Linked DNA regions of Saccharomyces cerevisiae S288C. The protein of the gene in region 1 interacts with the protein of each later gene in a biochemical or structural test. Each region holds a gene or a part of one and is shown in the gene's direction. Other genes may lie near its edges.

What was found. Proteins that work in one complex are often made in the same cells at the same time.
Region 2: the proteins of SPT15 (region 1) and GAL4 form a complex in vitro, tested with the Saccharomyces cerevisiae proteins (5 studies listed by BioGRID).
Region 3: the proteins of SPT15 (region 1) and BRF1 form a complex in vitro, tested with the Saccharomyces cerevisiae proteins (6 studies listed by BioGRID, with this or other methods).

Annotation. Positions count from the first base shown.
Region 1 is NC_001137.3:463,721-468,824, forward strand, and holds SPT15 (TATA-binding protein), read left to right. Parts: upstream 1-1,582; coding exon 1,583-2,305; downstream 2,306-5,104. Other genes in the region: cohesin-loading factor complex subunit SCC4, read right to left, coding at 1-1,122; PEA2 (Pea2p), read right to left, coding at 2,488-3,750; SPI1 (Spi1p), read left to right, coding at 4,650-5,096. UniProt on the Saccharomyces cerevisiae protein: General transcription factor that functions at the core of the DNA-binding general transcription factor complex TFIID. Binding of TFIID to a promoter (with or without TATA element) is the initial step in preinitiation complex (PIC) formation.
Region 2 is NC_001148.4:78,415-85,391, reverse strand, and holds GAL4 (galactose-responsive transcription factor GAL4), read left to right. Parts: upstream 1-3,035; coding exon 3,036-5,681; downstream 5,682-6,977. Other genes in the region: putative rhomboid protease RBD2, read left to right, coding at 95-883; YPL247C (uncharacterized protein), read left to right, coding at 1,196-2,767; GTPase-activating protein GYP5, read left to right, coding at 6,039-6,977. UniProt on the Saccharomyces cerevisiae protein: This protein is a positive regulator for the gene expression of the galactose-induced genes such as GAL1, GAL2, GAL7, GAL10, and MEL1 which code for the enzymes used to convert galactose to glucose.
Region 3 is NC_001139.9:981,186-987,001, reverse strand, and holds BRF1 (transcription factor TFIIIB subunit BRF1), read left to right. Parts: upstream 1-2,729; coding exon 2,730-4,520; downstream 4,521-5,816. Other genes in the region: 6-phosphogluconolactonase SOL4, read right to left, coding at 263-1,030; CPD1 (2',3'-cyclic-nucleotide 3'-phosphodiesterase), read right to left, coding at 1,317-2,036; SDA1 (Sda1p), read left to right, coding at 4,934-5,816. UniProt on the Saccharomyces cerevisiae protein: General activator of RNA polymerase III transcription. Interacts with TBP. Binds to Pol III subunit C34 and to the TAU135 component of TFIIIC.

The DNA of each region.
Region 1 (5,104 bases):
TTCCCACACTTTGTAAAACTCACAGAATTCAAGAATGCTCTTGTATGTCTGGATTCGTGAGTCCAGCTCATTCATCGAAACACCGCCAGCGGCAATGTTCTTAATCAGTTTCTGCGTTGTAGAATAGACTTTGGGGAGGAACTTCCTGGAAAAATTGCCCTTTTCGTCATAACAGTTCACGATGTAGCTGACACTTTGCAATAATAACAGTATGTTCTTTAATTCTTTGTAGTGGAAAATCATAGGCAACTCTACTTTCAGCGCTATCCTTGGCATGATTTTGATCACACATCCCTTACCTTCATTAGTGACTAGAGATTGCTTGTTTGTGTCAAAGAAATTTTTGAATTCGTTCAAGTGGTCCGTAATATTCCCGTCTTTACAAAGCTGGATTACCATCTCTAATGCCAACTTCCATGCATATAGCTCAGGCCCCACCGTGTGCAGCTCCGTGCTTCGCAGCTCCTGCAGAGCATCCTCGGGGATTGGGAACCTCTCATTTAGCAAGTAATTCACATAACACAGATTTAGAAACCATTTCCATTGTGACTTTTCCCGACATTGCGAGAGTAGCCCATGAAAACTCGTCTTCACCCTGCGGTGCTGTTTCAGCTTAATGCAAAGCATCACGCCGACATACTGGAATACGGATGCCCAATTTTGATACAACTCATCCTGCAAATTTACCATGTACTGGACTAATTCATTGCAATTTCTTAGTGCAATCTTATAGTGGAACTTACTGTCTCTCATAAGTGGCAAGTCATGTAACAGCAGAAACTCGCAACGCATGATCTCTTCTACCAAATCTGTGTCGCTCTGGTGCGTTTGTAACCGTTCTTTCAAACTGGAAATGTAAAGCTCTGCTAGGTCAAAATTATACGTCTCCTGTATCAATAACTCCACCATCTCAAACGTGACCTTACTATCCTCCAGAACTGAAAGCGTACATTTCGTTTTCAATAGCTGAAACATCTGGATAGACATGTTCATGAGGCCATAATACTGCTTCAACCCTTCCTCAGAACCGATTTTATTCGCAATTGAATATGCATGGTCTCTGTATTCCTGTGCTAAGTGGTATACTTGTGAAATACTAAGTTTGTCGCCAAGATTTTCCATGAATTTGTACTTCTTTCGAAATCGTTCAATTTCTACCAATACTGATTCCCCTCTGATAGCTGAGATGTCGGGATTCCCTTTGCTGATAGATCTAACTCATCTCTTTACGTATTTTAATTGTGAAGCCGTAAATAGTTATCTTCCAAGTTTCTCTTACGCGAGCTTTTTGGGAAAAGAAAAAAATTTGAAGATCTACATATAAAACATGGCTTCAAAGGATTACTAATGACTTTTTTTACCTTGATAGGTATTCTTGATGGTAAGAGTAAACAAGGGACGTGAAAATTACAGTAGTTACTGTTTTTTTTGGACTATAAGATCGGGGGAAAGATAACACATAAGAAATAAAACGACTACTAGTTAGACTGCTCTGCGGAAGAAGCAAGGAAGTAAAGGCTGCATTTTATTTTTCTTTTCTAGTCCAACATAAACAGGTGTATCAAGAGAAACTTTTTTAATTATGGCCGATGAGGAACGTTTAAAGGAGTTTAAAGAGGCAAACAAGATAGTGTTTGATCCAAATACCAGACAAGTATGGGAAAACCAGAATCGAGATGGTACAAAACCAGCAACTACTTTCCAGAGTGAAGAGGACATAAAAAGAGCTGCCCCAGAATCTGAAAAAGACACCTCCGCCACATCAGGTATTGTTCCAACACTACAAAACATTGTGGCAACTGTGACTTTGGGGTGCAGGTTAGATCTGAAAACAGTTGCGCTACATGCCCGTAATGCAGAATATAACCCCAAGCGTTTTGCTGCTGTCATCATGCGTATTAGAGAGCCAAAAACTACAGCTTTAATTTTTGCCTCAGGGAAAATGGTTGTTACCGGTGCAAAAAGTGAGGATGACTCAAAGCTGGCCAGTAGAAAATATGCAAGAATTATCCAAAAAATCGGGTTTGCTGCTAAATTCACAGACTTCAAAATACAAAATATTGTCGGTTCGTGTGACGTTAAATTCCCTATACGTCTAGAAGGGTTAGCATTCAGTCATGGTACTTTCTCCTCCTATGAGCCAGAATTGTTTCCTGGTTTGATCTATAGAATGGTGAAGCCGAAAATTGTGTTGTTAATTTTTGTTTCAGGAAAGATTGTTCTTACTGGTGCAAAGCAAAGGGAAGAAATTTACCAAGCTTTTGAAGCTATATACCCTGTGCTAAGTGAATTTAGAAAAATGTGATGGGGAAGGAGTAGACGAAAAGAAAAAAAGGTTTTCTATTTGTTCCATTTTCTCAATTATTAATGGTCCTCAAAGAAATAAAAGAAAAGGAAGAAGAAGTAATTGTAATATCAAACGGTTTTTTATAGTATATTCTTCTTATTCTATATTTATATATCAATGTTTTATAATAAGATGTTTATTCATAGCATATCTGGTGGATCGTCTCTATTAAGCGCCAGCGAGGTGTTTGCCTCTGCATTTTTCAGCAAAGCAAGCTCCCTTTCCAGCTTGAATCTATGTTCACGCTCATCCGACAATTCTTTTTCATACTTTCTTTGTGTACTCGTAAGCACTTTTTTAAACTCACTTGTCATTATTGAAAGTGAACGTGATCCAGAACCGCTTGTGGGGCTTCCTACAGAGGAAGGTGAACTTGGATCCCAAGTCACCGGCGAACTCGCTGGTGATGACATGCCGAAATTATGTCTGCTTGAATTCAGCTTGTTGTTGGCTTTTTCAAGTTCTTTATTTTCCTGCTCCAATTCGTGTAATTTCTTTTCAGTTTTACTCAAATTCGAGTGGTTGTTTAATAACTTATCTTGTAATTCTCTGTTAGTCCGCGTTAGCTTCTCGATATCTTGTACATATTCGGCACGGTCATTCTCGAATTGCTTAGTCAAGAAATTGTGTGCCAGTTGCAAATCACTAAATGCCGTTTCTAGTTCTTCTAATTTTTTAGAGGAGTCTTCCTCTTGAATTGCAGCGGCGTTAGGCGAAATAGGTGGTGATGACGTATTTTTTTCTAGACTGACGCAGGTATCCAAGATAGAATTTATCCCATTTTTCAAGAACTTCACAGGGTCATCTAATGGTATTGGCTTGATATCAATGCCTTTCTGAATGGAGTTTGACATCAAGAAGGACGTTAATTCTTGAAGTATTTCATTTTTATCGTCATCAGCTTTGTCAGTATGGTAAGCACCCTTGTTAAATTTATCTGTGCCACCCATATTAGTGGAAGACCTCGCTCTTTTAGAATTTGGGAAACTGTTGTTGTTTTCCTTCGTAAGCTGGTCTATCCCTGTAGTGTTAATGGATTCAAGGATCCTCAGCATCATTTCATACCAATCCGCAGACTTCGGCTGCAGCTTCAGCAACTCATTGAGTGTGGGATTTAGATCATCAGAGTTCAAGTGCTCTTTTTGAACGTAGTATAGGGCGAACTCAGACACTAGCTTTTTGTCAAGGTCTATTTCTGACTCGTCATTTTTACTTCTATACAGAAGATAGTCAAAATAGTCAATGGAAGTGTATGGTCTACTATTGTGATGCGGATGTGACGGATTTTGGGAGAGAAGGTACTGTTTCAATTCATCGTATTTCAATGGATACTCTTCGTATCGTTCTGCACTAAAAAGCAAAGGGTTCGCTCTTCTCGAGAGCTCTAGATCAAATTTATGCATATGAAACGTGATATCCACCGTTATTCTCCCTCTCGAACACAGGACTTCGATAGTATCTTTTGTAATCTGTTCAGCTCAACTATTTGTTACCATACCATCATCATCACTTTACACATACTCATCATGTGTTTATTGACGCGAGCGCGACTTGCAAGAAAAGGCATAATTGTGGCGAGGTAATGAAAAATTTTTGACGTTTCCCTCATTCATTCATACATAACATTTTGGGATTTTGGAACAAGGCGAGAGGAGAACGTCTTTGGACCACTGTAATAGTACACAATGCAAGATATTTTAAGTTTATGCTAAAAATCCAGAAGTGACGCTTCATCAACGGTGTCAATATGGACCGAATTTTAGTGTATCTTCAATTGTAACCGTGAGGAGTAGACTCTTTGAATACGGGGGAAGAAGAAATATCATATTCAAAGCTAATTCATTGAAATTAGTGCTTGTCTCATCTAGCCTTTAGTGCTTAATCTCTGGAGGAGCACATATGGGGTTAAAGCCATGCCGGGACTGGGGGCCCCTATCGGGGCTCGAACCCGAATCCCGCGAGTATTTATTTGAAGGTCCGGGACGCAAGTTACCTAATCTGGTTAATTGATATCCCATTTAGGCGATGACGTTCCTTCCCCTCACCCCTCGGCTTGTTAGAAGATCTATTGTTATAGCCTCCTCTGGAAGAATTTATGCCAGATGAAGAAAAAAACTTCTCGAAGTTCCCAGATGCCCAAATGAGGGCTTTCCATCCCTGTTAGCTGGAAAAGTGTAAGTATATCTATATAAAAAGTCGGCCTACTTTTGCCAGGTTCGTCTTTCACTTGCACTCTCTTGATCTTACTTTCTACTCAAAAAGAATCCAATACACAAAAATAAAATCAGTACTATTACTAATAATGTTGTCTAACGCTAAGCTCCTTCTATCATTGGCCATGGCCTCTACGGCTCTCGGATTGGTATCTAATTCTAGTTCCTCTGTAATCGTGGTACCATCAAGCGATGCTACTATTGCCGGTAACGATACAGCCACGCCAGCACCAGAGCCATCATCCGCCGCTCCAATATTCTACAACTCGACTGCTACTGCAACACAGTACGAAGTTGTCAGTGAATTCACTACTTACTGCCCAGAACCAACGACTTTCGTAACGAATGGCGCTACATTCACTGTTACTGCCCCAACTACGTTAACAATTACCAACTGTCCTTGCACTATCGAGAAGCCTACTTCAGAAACATCGGTTTCTTCTACACATGATGTGGAGACAAATTCTAATGCTGCTAACGCAAGAGCAATCCCAGGAGCCCTAGGTTTGGCTGGTGCAGTTATGATGCTTTTATGATCGAATAG
Region 2 (6,977 bases), on another chromosome or scaffold:
ATACAAGAAGAATAGGGGGATGGGAAAGGCTTAATTGGAAGCACTGAGAACAGCAATTCACTCTGGTTGTTAGGTTGTGCTATTTGGTCGTGCTATGAATTGGAAGTCGTACGTTTTTCCCGGTGGTCATCCACCAGCTGCGTTGACCACAGGCCTTGTGGTATTTCTAACCGCTATTTACCTGTTAAGTTTTATTTTTGCCCTAAGGGAAGACCTGTCGTTGGCGCCAGAGTCATTGTTCAAACTGCAAATGAGCAGGCTATCGCTTTATCCTTTAATTCACCTATCATTGCCTCATTTACTGTTCAATGTGCTAGCCATCTGGGCACCCTTGAATCTCTTCGAAGAAACGCATGGGACTGTGTACACAGGTGTTTTTTTGAACCTGAGTGCTCTATTTGCCGGAATTCTGTACTGTTTGTTGGGTAAGTTGCTATATCCAGAAGCATTAGTTGCAGGCGCCAGTGGGTGGTGTTTCACCTTATTCGCATACTATAGTTTTAAAGAATCACAGATCCGCCCTAGAACAAGGATCTTTCGCACAGACTACTCAATTCCGACATTATATACACCCCTAGTACTATTAGTCGCAATTGCCGTCGTTATACCTGGCTCCAGTTTCTGGGGTCATTTTTTCGGCTTATGTGTCGGTTACGCCATAGGCTACAAGGAATCGTGGTTTAACAAGATCACTCCACCAGGATGGATCATCACCAAAATCGAAAAAAGTTTAGACGGTTTAATTCGATTAATACCTTGGGGAATTAAGTATTACAGAGATGAGGATATCGACAGAACTAAAGATTACGAACCGTTAATGTCCACAGAAACACCATTGCCTCTCCACAATGACAACTCCGGCACTGTCCTAGGGACTGCCTAGACATTTGTATCGCTATTCTTTCTTTCACAGTTTAAGGATGTATATAAATGTAGTATATATCATTTTATATTCTAATATGCAAGAATTTTCAGTCTCTTCTTTTTCCTTAGCGTGCGTTTATGAAAAAAAATGGAATATGAATAATTACTGGGAGGAAGACCAGGGGCAAGGGGTGAACCATCTTGTCATCTGAAATCTTGTATAAATAATTTAGTAATCAGTTCTTTAGGTTTTCGAGAGTGGCATACAACCTAAAGGGTCAACAGACAACAAGAAGGAAAGGAATTATAGGAGCAAATACACGCCCTTCAAATGGATCCCTTTCACAATGGCAATAAAAGGAGCTCAATATCGTTTGGCTCATCGCAGCGGCAGCCATATAACAAGAACAATTACTTGAGTGGTACTAATGGGCCTTCCTCGGCGGCACAAGATCAAGGTAGAGGCCCATCTCCCTTTGGAATGTCTGGCAACACTACCAATGGCGGTAACAGCAAAAGGAATAGTGGCTGTGACCTAAGTGCCACGTACTATGCAAGTCGATCGCCGATGTATTCACCGTTAGATTTCTCGCCACCAGTTTTTTCACCAAATCATTCTCAGTTACAGCAGGCGAGGGGCTATGCTGCAAATATTCCGGTTGTAAGCAATCTGATGAACCCTTCCATGGCCTCCGTGTGCGAATATCAATCACACTATCCACTCTTTGGGCTCGATTGGAGCGCCGACGACTACGTCTGCTTGGGTTCGTACAAAGAGGACAGCAGAAATAAGTTGCAGGTTCTGCACTCTAATGATCTACTGAGCTGGGAAAGCGTAGTGGACGCAGATGTGGTTTATCCTGTGAGCAAAATCCAATGGGTCCCCTCTCAATTGTATCCAAGGAAACTCGCGACGTGTTCTGACTCCTTACGGATTTGGAGCGTTAGCCCTGAGGAAAGACAGTTCCAAGAACAAATAAATCTATCTCTGTGTAAATACAATAGACAGCACCCCGCCAATCCCGCGGCCGCAGATGACATGAAGGTCATAGGCACTTTCCCACCAATAACATCATTTGACTGGAACACGGTCGATACTAACTTGATAATCTCAAGTTCCATCGACACCACATGCATTGTATGGGATCTGCAAAGCAGTCACTACGTTAAGACCCAATTGATCGCTCACGACAGCGAAGTTTTTGATGTAAGGTTTTTGACAAAATCGACCCAATTATTTGCTAGTTGTGGTGGGGACGGTAGTGTACGAGTATTTGATTTAAGATCGCTTGCGCACAGTACAATTATTTACGAGCCTCCCTCTTCCTCAGTGTCTGGAGCCACTGCGGGTACTATAACACCGTCGTCGAAAGGTTCGGACGCCTTATTGAGGCTGGAGCCATCACCGTATGACCCAAATGTGTTGGCCACTTTTGCAGCTGACTCGAACAAAATCATTATTCTAGATATGAGGAACCCAGAATCCCCTATACTAAACTTACAAGGCCACGGTTCTTCGGTAAACGGGATTAAATGGCATCCCACAAAGCGCAATGTTTTGCTCTCGTGCGGAGATGACTGCCAGGTGCTCTATTGGGACTTGAACAGCTCCTTTATGGAAATTAACGCTGCAGGTAGCAAATCCCCCAGTATTCATGGAACTTCCTTGGAGGACCCTGACGGCGACACAGAGATGACAGACGGTGGCGCAGGATCCGGTTTAAACGAGGATCCCTTAAGTTTAAACAACAACAGCAAGCAGGTGTGCAAGACACTAGAGACTCCTAACATGATGTATGCCAATAAAACACAAGAGATAAACAACATTGCATGGAGGCCCCAGAGGGGCGATTGGTTTGGGTGCGTGAGCGGCAAGAAGTTTCAAAACGTCCGCGTCCTTTGAGACAGCATTCGCCCAGTATTTTTTTTATTCTACAAACCTTCTATAATTTCAAAGTATTTACATAATTCTGTATCAGTTTAATCACCATAATATCGTTTTCTTTGTTTAGTGCAATTAATTTTTCCTATTGTTACTTCGGGCCTTTTTCTGTTTTATGAGCTATTTTTTCCGTCATCCTTCCCCAGATTTTCAGCTTCATCTCCAGATTGTGTCTACGTAATGCACGCCATCATTTTAAGAGAGGACAGAGAAGCAAGCCTCCTGAAAGATGAAGCTACTGTCTTCTATCGAACAAGCATGCGATATTTGCCGACTTAAAAAGCTCAAGTGCTCCAAAGAAAAACCGAAGTGCGCCAAGTGTCTGAAGAACAACTGGGAGTGTCGCTACTCTCCCAAAACCAAAAGGTCTCCGCTGACTAGGGCACATCTGACAGAAGTGGAATCAAGGCTAGAAAGACTGGAACAGCTATTTCTACTGATTTTTCCTCGAGAAGACCTTGACATGATTTTGAAAATGGATTCTTTACAGGATATAAAAGCATTGTTAACAGGATTATTTGTACAAGATAATGTGAATAAAGATGCCGTCACAGATAGATTGGCTTCAGTGGAGACTGATATGCCTCTAACATTGAGACAGCATAGAATAAGTGCGACATCATCATCGGAAGAGAGTAGTAACAAAGGTCAAAGACAGTTGACTGTATCGATTGACTCGGCAGCTCATCATGATAACTCCACAATTCCGTTGGATTTTATGCCCAGGGATGCTCTTCATGGATTTGATTGGTCTGAAGAGGATGACATGTCGGATGGCTTGCCCTTCCTGAAAACGGACCCCAACAATAATGGGTTCTTTGGCGACGGTTCTCTCTTATGTATTCTTCGATCTATTGGCTTTAAACCGGAAAATTACACGAACTCTAACGTTAACAGGCTCCCGACCATGATTACGGATAGATACACGTTGGCTTCTAGATCCACAACATCCCGTTTACTTCAAAGTTATCTCAATAATTTTCACCCCTACTGCCCTATCGTGCACTCACCGACGCTAATGATGTTGTATAATAACCAGATTGAAATCGCGTCGAAGGATCAATGGCAAATCCTTTTTAACTGCATATTAGCCATTGGAGCCTGGTGTATAGAGGGGGAATCTACTGATATAGATGTTTTTTACTATCAAAATGCTAAATCTCATTTGACGAGCAAGGTCTTCGAGTCAGGTTCCATAATTTTGGTGACAGCCCTACATCTTCTGTCGCGATATACACAGTGGAGGCAGAAAACAAATACTAGCTATAATTTTCACAGCTTTTCCATAAGAATGGCCATATCATTGGGCTTGAATAGGGACCTCCCCTCGTCCTTCAGTGATAGCAGCATTCTGGAACAAAGACGCCGAATTTGGTGGTCTGTCTACTCTTGGGAGATCCAATTGTCCCTGCTTTATGGTCGATCCATCCAGCTTTCTCAGAATACAATCTCCTTCCCTTCTTCTGTCGACGATGTGCAGCGTACCACAACAGGTCCCACCATATATCATGGCATCATTGAAACAGCAAGGCTCTTACAAGTTTTCACAAAAATCTATGAACTAGACAAAACAGTAACTGCAGAAAAAAGTCCTATATGTGCAAAAAAATGCTTGATGATTTGTAATGAGATTGAGGAGGTTTCGAGACAGGCACCAAAGTTTTTACAAATGGATATTTCCACCACCGCTCTAACCAATTTGTTGAAGGAACACCCTTGGCTATCCTTTACAAGATTCGAACTGAAGTGGAAACAGTTGTCTCTTATCATTTATGTATTAAGAGATTTTTTCACTAATTTTACCCAGAAAAAGTCACAACTAGAACAGGATCAAAATGATCATCAAAGTTATGAAGTTAAACGATGCTCCATCATGTTAAGCGATGCAGCACAAAGAACTGTTATGTCTGTAAGTAGCTATATGGACAATCATAATGTCACCCCATATTTTGCCTGGAATTGTTCTTATTACTTGTTCAATGCAGTCCTAGTACCCATAAAGACTCTACTCTCAAACTCAAAATCGAATGCTGAGAATAACGAGACCGCACAATTATTACAACAAATTAACACTGTTCTGATGCTATTAAAAAAACTGGCCACTTTTAAAATCCAGACTTGTGAAAAATACATTCAAGTACTGGAAGAGGTATGTGCGCCGTTTCTGTTATCACAGTGTGCAATCCCATTACCGCATATCAGTTATAACAATAGTAATGGTAGCGCCATTAAAAATATTGTCGGTTCTGCAACTATCGCCCAATACCCTACTCTTCCGGAGGAAAATGTCAACAATATCAGTGTTAAATATGTTTCTCCTGGCTCAGTAGGGCCTTCACCTGTGCCATTGAAATCAGGAGCAAGTTTCAGTGATCTAGTCAAGCTGTTATCTAACCGTCCACCCTCTCGTAACTCTCCAGTGACAATACCAAGAAGCACACCTTCGCATCGCTCAGTCACGCCTTTTCTAGGGCAACAGCAACAGCTGCAATCATTAGTGCCACTGACCCCGTCTGCTTTGTTTGGTGGCGCCAATTTTAATCAAAGTGGGAATATTGCTGATAGCTCATTGTCCTTCACTTTCACTAACAGTAGCAACGGTCCGAACCTCATAACAACTCAAACAAATTCTCAAGCGCTTTCACAACCAATTGCCTCCTCTAACGTTCATGATAACTTCATGAATAATGAAATCACGGCTAGTAAAATTGATGATGGTAATAATTCAAAACCACTGTCACCTGGTTGGACGGACCAAACTGCGTATAACGCGTTTGGAATCACTACAGGGATGTTTAATACCACTACAATGGATGATGTATATAACTATCTATTCGATGATGAAGATACCCCACCAAACCCAAAAAAAGAGTAAAATGAATCGTAGATACTGAAAAACCCCGCAAGTTCACTTCAACTGTGCATCGTGCACCATCTCAATTTCTTTCATTTATACATCGTTTTGCCTTCTTTTATGTAACTATACTCCTCTAAGTTTCAATCTTGGCCATGTAACCTCTGATCTATAGAATTTTTTAAATGACTAGAATTAATGCCCATCTTTTTTTTGGACCTAAATTCTTCATGAAAATATATTACGAGGGCTTATTCAGAAGCTTCGCTCATATAACGAAAAAAAAGGGTTTGGATCGAACGTAATTGAGATTGATTAGTTAATACTCAAAATAAAACAGCTCCTACCACCAGTGTAAAGTAGAACGTTAATAGAGCAATGTCTTCAGACAAATCTATTGAGAAAAATACAGATACGATCGCCTCTGAAGTTCACGAAGGTGATAATCATTCGAATAATTTGGGTTCAATGGAGGAAGAGATAAAATCAACGCCATCAGACCAATATGAAGAGATAGCTATAATTCCAACTGAGCCCCTCCATTCGGACAAAGAACTAAATGACAAGCAACAAAGTTTAGGCCATGAAGCACCCACAAATGTATCAAGAGAAGAACCTATTGGGATCTCTGGTGATGAAGACACCCAAATCACTGAACAAAACGTTAATGAACAAAGGCAAGAAACGAGAGAACCTAGTTCTGAAATTGATTTAAATGAGCCATTGGATGTTGAAAAAGATGTGACAACGGATGTGCAAGCCCCAAATGGGCTGAATATTGAAAAAGAATATGATGCAGTCAAAGAGAATGAGAAGGTTTACGCTGATACGAAAGAGGTTGTTAGTAGTCCAGAAAATAGGGAAGTAACTGGAAAAAATTCTGGAGGTGAGAAATCATCCTCGAGTAAATTTCTCGATGACGAATCTGGTACTACGACAGCTGCAAATGCGAACGACATTTCTATAAGTAGTGAAGTAACCCCAGAAAGGTCGTCAGAAAATGATAATAACCAGATTCATATTACCAATGAGGTAGCCGCAGGAATAAACTTGAATGAAAACAAGGAACAAAAAGCTGCTATAGAAGATGGGCCCGTAACAGCAGAGAATCTTTCCTCAGAAACTGCTAGGAAAGTACCACCTATACCCACACAAATCATAAATGAAAAAGGTGATAACTCAAGCGAGAACGAGGTTTCCGCAATTCCCACTACATCTTCGCCACCATTACCACCTAGACAAAATGTTGCGACATCAACGTCACCAAAATTACCTCCAAGGGGCAAACAAAGGGAACAACCACCGAAGACGAAGAAT
Region 3 (5,816 bases), on another chromosome or scaffold:
CCGGGTGAGCTATGTTTTTCTTTTAAGTTATGCAACCTTCGCGGAGGCTCGGTTGCTTACGGAACTTTTAAGGTTGAGTTTGCCTTCGGTACCCCTTTCCTTTCTGCTGTCAATTCTTCTAGAAGAACTGGGTTTATGCTTCGGGAGTAAGCTCCAACATACGCTGTAAAGAAGACAGTTGTCATTTATTTATTATTATGTAATGTAATTAAGGTTGTCTGTCGTGATTAACGGAGCCAGTTTCGTATAAAGACGAGTGTAATTAGCAGTTTTCAGGAATCAAGGCGCCAGCTTCGTCGTCGAGAAACCAAGTTACTTTGGTTCCGACCATTTCATTAACCAGCACACTAGGTAGTTCGCTATTTTTTACGATTAACACGTCATGCATGATAGCCTTTTTAGCAGCTCCCCTAACGAGAAAGCACACACTTTTAGCCTCGGCTACTACTGCTAATGTAAAGGTGATCCTGTCCTTGGGTGCCTTGGGCGAATTATTACACCATAAAACCTTGCGGTCCATCTCTTCTACAAGGTAATTAAATTCAACCCCGGGAAACAACGAGCATGTATGTCCATCTTCTCCGCATCCGAGTAAGATTAGGTCGAATGATGCAGGCAGCATGGAAGCGTATTCTTCGGCAATCTTTCTATTGGCCGTTTCACCGCCACCGATTAATGATTCGTTGATAGTGTATACAGTGGGGCCTAAGTTCAATTGGTTGCCCTGATGCACTAGCGGGTCCAAAACTGTTTTTTTGAACTGACCATAGTTACTTTGCGGATCCTCAAATGGAACCAATCTTTCGTCACAGAAGAAGATTCTCCATTGTGGCCACTTAATATGTGGAAAAATGTTTTTGTCATTTACCAAACTTTCGTACAGCGCTTGGTTCATCGATCCTCCACTGATGGCGATATTGAACACTGCATCAGCGTCGCCCGTTAACGCCGATTCTTGCTTTTCAAGGATAAACTTGCCGAATTCGTGTATGAGGCTTTTCTTTTCGCTAAACCTTTGTAATTTCACCATTTTTCTTGAGGTGGTTGTGGATTATTTGATGAATGGCATTCTTTGTTTGGAAAACTGCTGCGATAAGACTACGTTCTTCGTCATTTCTTAAATATTATGGATCTTACAATTTTCGCTGCTTAGGGGGGGATTTTTTTAATTTTCAAGGGATTTCCATCCCTTGCGAAGGCAAGCGATCAGTATACGTAAATCTCTAACTAGAACATTTTCAAGTATTGACAGATATGAAAAAAAAAAAAAAAAAAAAAATTCTATATAATTACTTACAGTGCACATAAATGTATGCTTAAACGTCCACCCGTCCCAATACCTCCCATTCTTGAACGGGCCCCACACAGTTGACCACTTTAAACGTTCCTGGGATATTCCAAGATAGCGATGAAGATACGTCAAAATCCCATCTCATTTGCACTTCATTGGACCCATCAGCGTTTCCGGAACCCTTACGTTTCTCTCTTGGAACTAGTTGCACGTCTAGAGCATCTTCAATTCTTTGTTGAACTACTCGCAATGACGCCTGACTTACCGGATGAATATCCGAATAAAGCAATGAGACGTGAGGATGGAATTCCTCGTGCACCCAAGTGGCGGCACGGCTACTTCGCGTCTCAGGATCGATCTCTACGTACATCTCTCTCATGACTTGTGCGACCCCATAAAGTATTTTGTTCTTGTTACACTCGAGCACAATTTTCTTGAAATATTGTTTACCTACACTGCATCCATTGAAAGATACCAAAGGAGCTGCAACAGCATGGGATACCTGTCCCTTACGTCCTTTCTTTGCTGTTTGGTGTGACCTTATCGATTGGATGGCAGCAACACAGGAGGTCAAGATTTTGTTGACATCATCTTTACTATTGCACACCAAATGGGACGTTACCGTCACATGAGGTTCAAAAACTGGTGAATCTGGGAACAACGTTTGAAACGAAAATATAAGCATCTGTAATGTCTCGTAAGCAACTGATCCTTGTGGTGGACAATACCATAATGCTATTGCCATTTTTCTGTGGTTACTGATATTAGCAAATTGAAGTATCGCGAATTCCCAAACTAGAATAATTACAATTGATGGTAAAATAAAATGATAAAATAATCTGATTAGATTCTTGGTATCTCAAAAGTGACTTTGATAACTTCTTGATTGTTTGTGCCCCTGCTTACGAATTGGGTTCTTATTAAACTTCACCTGCATCGCTTCTCCATCGGATCTAACCTAAAAAAAATAAAAACCCCCCGGTAAGCACTTGATCACGCCTACAAAATCACTTAGTGAACAAAGGAAAATAGATTGTTTTTAAAGTTGTGAAGTAGTGAACTATGGCTTCCCACATACACATATATACTGATACAGATGCAATATAACATTTAGTGTTAGAAAAATTTGCTTCTATCTTGATGACATTGAATACTCTTGGACGTAAAAAAAGACATCCGATTAAAGTGGAGGTAATCTACAAGAAAAGTTGTTCTTCCCCTCATTAGAAATCTTGCAATGGTCACGGCCGTCGCTATCAAAAATCAACGAAGTGAAGTGACTCTAATTTTTGTCTATTAATGTTGCGATGGCCTTATTTGCTATTCTAAGGTTTTCGCGAAGTATCAGGTATGATAAAAAAAATCATATTTTTGATCGCATCAAGAACAATCCCAATGGTAAAAACGGTAATAAAAAAGAGTCCATAGTCATATACCAATGCCAGTGTGTAAGAACTGTCACGGAACCGAATTTGAGAGAGATCTTTCCAATGCTAACAACGATTTAGTTTGTAAAGCTTGTGGTGTTGTCTCAGAAGATAATCCTATCGTCTCTGAAGTTACATTCGGTGAAACAAGTGCAGGTGCTGCTGTAGTACAAGGTTCTTTTATCGGTGCAGGACAAAGTCATGCTGCATTTGGTGGTTCTAGTGCTCTAGAATCTAGAGAAGCCACATTGAACAATGCAAGAAGGAAATTACGCGCCGTTTCTTACGCATTACATATCCCGGAATATATCACAGATGCTGCTTTCCAATGGTATAAGCTTGCATTGGCTAATAACTTTGTACAAGGTCGTAGGTCCCAAAATGTTATCGCTTCATGTCTTTACGTTGCATGTAGAAAGGAAAAGACGCATCATATGCTGATCGACTTCTCTTCAAGGTTACAGGTGAGTGTGTATTCCATAGGAGCCACATTTTTGAAAATGGTAAAGAAATTACATATCACAGAATTGCCGTTAGCGGATCCTTCCTTATTCATTCAACATTTTGCCGAAAAATTGGATCTTGCTGACAAGAAGATCAAAGTGGTAAAAGATGCCGTAAAATTGGCTCAAAGAATGTCCAAGGACTGGATGTTTGAAGGACGTAGACCTGCAGGTATTGCCGGCGCATGTATTCTACTAGCTTGCAGGATGAATAATTTGAGAAGAACTCATACAGAGATCGTCGCAGTTTCACATGTCGCCGAGGAAACTTTACAGCAACGGTTGAACGAATTCAAAAATACAAAGGCTGCTAAACTTTCAGTTCAAAAATTTAGAGAAAATGATGTGGAAGACGGTGAGGCTAGGCCTCCCTCCTTTGTGAAGAACAGAAAGAAAGAAAGAAAAATAAAGGACTCTTTAGACAAAGAAGAGATGTTTCAAACAAGTGAAGAAGCATTGAATAAAAATCCAATTTTGACGCAAGTATTAGGAGAACAAGAACTGTCTTCCAAGGAAGTCCTGTTTTACTTAAAACAATTTTCAGAAAGAAGGGCCCGTGTTGTGGAGAGGATTAAGGCTACTAATGGTATAGATGGTGAAAATATATACCATGAAGGTTCTGAAAACGAAACAAGGAAACGCAAACTTTCTGAAGTTTCTATCCAGAACGAGCATGTTGAAGGGGAAGACAAAGAGACGGAAGGGACTGAGGAAAAAGTCAAGAAGGTAAAGACAAAAACATCAGAAGAAAAGAAAGAGAACGAATCTGGGCATTTTCAAGATGCCATTGATGGTTACTCTCTAGAAACAGACCCATATTGTCCTCGCAATTTACACTTGTTACCCACAACGGACACATACCTTTCGAAAGTTAGTGACGACCCAGATAATTTAGAAGATGTTGATGATGAGGAGTTAAACGCGCACCTATTAAACGAGGAAGCTTCTAAATTGAAGGAAAGAATTTGGATTGGTCTGAACGCAGATTTCTTACTTGAACAAGAGAGTAAACGTTTGAAACAGGAGGCAGATATTGCCACAGGTAACACATCAGTGAAAAAAAAACGTACGAGACGTAGGAATAATACTAGAAGTGACGAACCTACAAAAACTGTGGATGCAGCAGCAGCTATCGGATTGATGTCAGACTTACAAGATAAGTCTGGTTTACACGCTGCATTGAAGGCAGCTGAGGAAAGTGGTGATTTCACAACTGCTGATAGTGTCAAGAACATGTTGCAGAAGGCAAGTTTCTCCAAGAAGATTAATTACGACGCCATTGACGGTTTGTTTAGGTAACGTTTAGGTAATCAACCCTAGGAAGGAAAAAGGGAACGGAAATAAAGACGCAATACATTTGGTTTTGGCTAAAATATATAGAACATGAAGTGCAAAAGAATTAAAGGTGCATTAACTATTTAATATGTATGTGATTATATAAATCTAAAATCTCAATGTCGTAACAATCACTGTTCCATTAAAAAAACGGGTAAGGTGGAAATTTCAGTTTTTTTTTTTTTTCTTTTCTTTTGCTTGATCGGCTAAAAAATGAAAATTTTAAACTCATCTCATCGCAGATAACCATAACACGCTTAACAGATAGAACGTTCTACCACTAAAAAAACATATCAAACGTCACTTTTTTGAATAAGTAATAATAGTTAAGGAGGAAGCACAAGACGCACTGAATATACCAATCAAGGGCATCAACAATGGGTAGAAGAAGTAGAGCAGCTATGCTCCCAACAAATATCATTCTTTTACAGAATTTGGTAAAGCGTGACCCAGAGTCCTATCAAGAGGAGTTTCTTCAACAATATGCACATTATGAATCGCTAAGGGACATTTTTATGTTAAATGGGCTTGCTGGAGGTGATTCTGCAGCTGCCACTAATGGGCTCGATGTAGGAAATGGATCTTCTACAATGGCAGGTACTAACGGTACCACCATGAGCACTTCAACTTCGCAACTTATTGAATTGGTTGGCTTCGTATCTCAAGTCTGCTCATGTTTTCCTCGTGAAACTGCAAACTTCCCGTCTGAATTAAAGCAGCTTTTGCTGGAACACCATAAGTCCTTGCCATTTGAATTGAAAGAAAAAATCTTAAGTTGTTTGACGATGTTAAGGAATAAGGACGTCATTACTGCTGAGGAATTAATTCAAAGCTTATTTCCTTTATTGGTTGCTTACTCTTCCCATGGTAATTCACTCGGCGTTAATTCACACGCCAAGGAATTGAGGAAAATCATTTATACAAATTTAATTTCTTTATTAAAAAGTTGTAATACTAATGGTAAAAATCAAAAATTGAACAAATCTACGCAGGCCGTTTGCTTTAATTTGTTAGATCAACCAGATTCCCAGGGAATCTGGGCCACAAAATTAACCAGAGAACTTTGGAGACGTGGTATTTGGGATGATTCAAGAACAGTAGAAATTATGACCCAAGCAGCATTACATCAGGATGTTAAGATTGTCATGTCTGGTGTGATGTTTTTTTTGGATGCTGACAGAGAACGTGAAGAAAATTTTGAAGAAAATTCCGAGGATGAGGATGGGTTTGATTTAGATGCATTAAGGCATAAGATGCAAG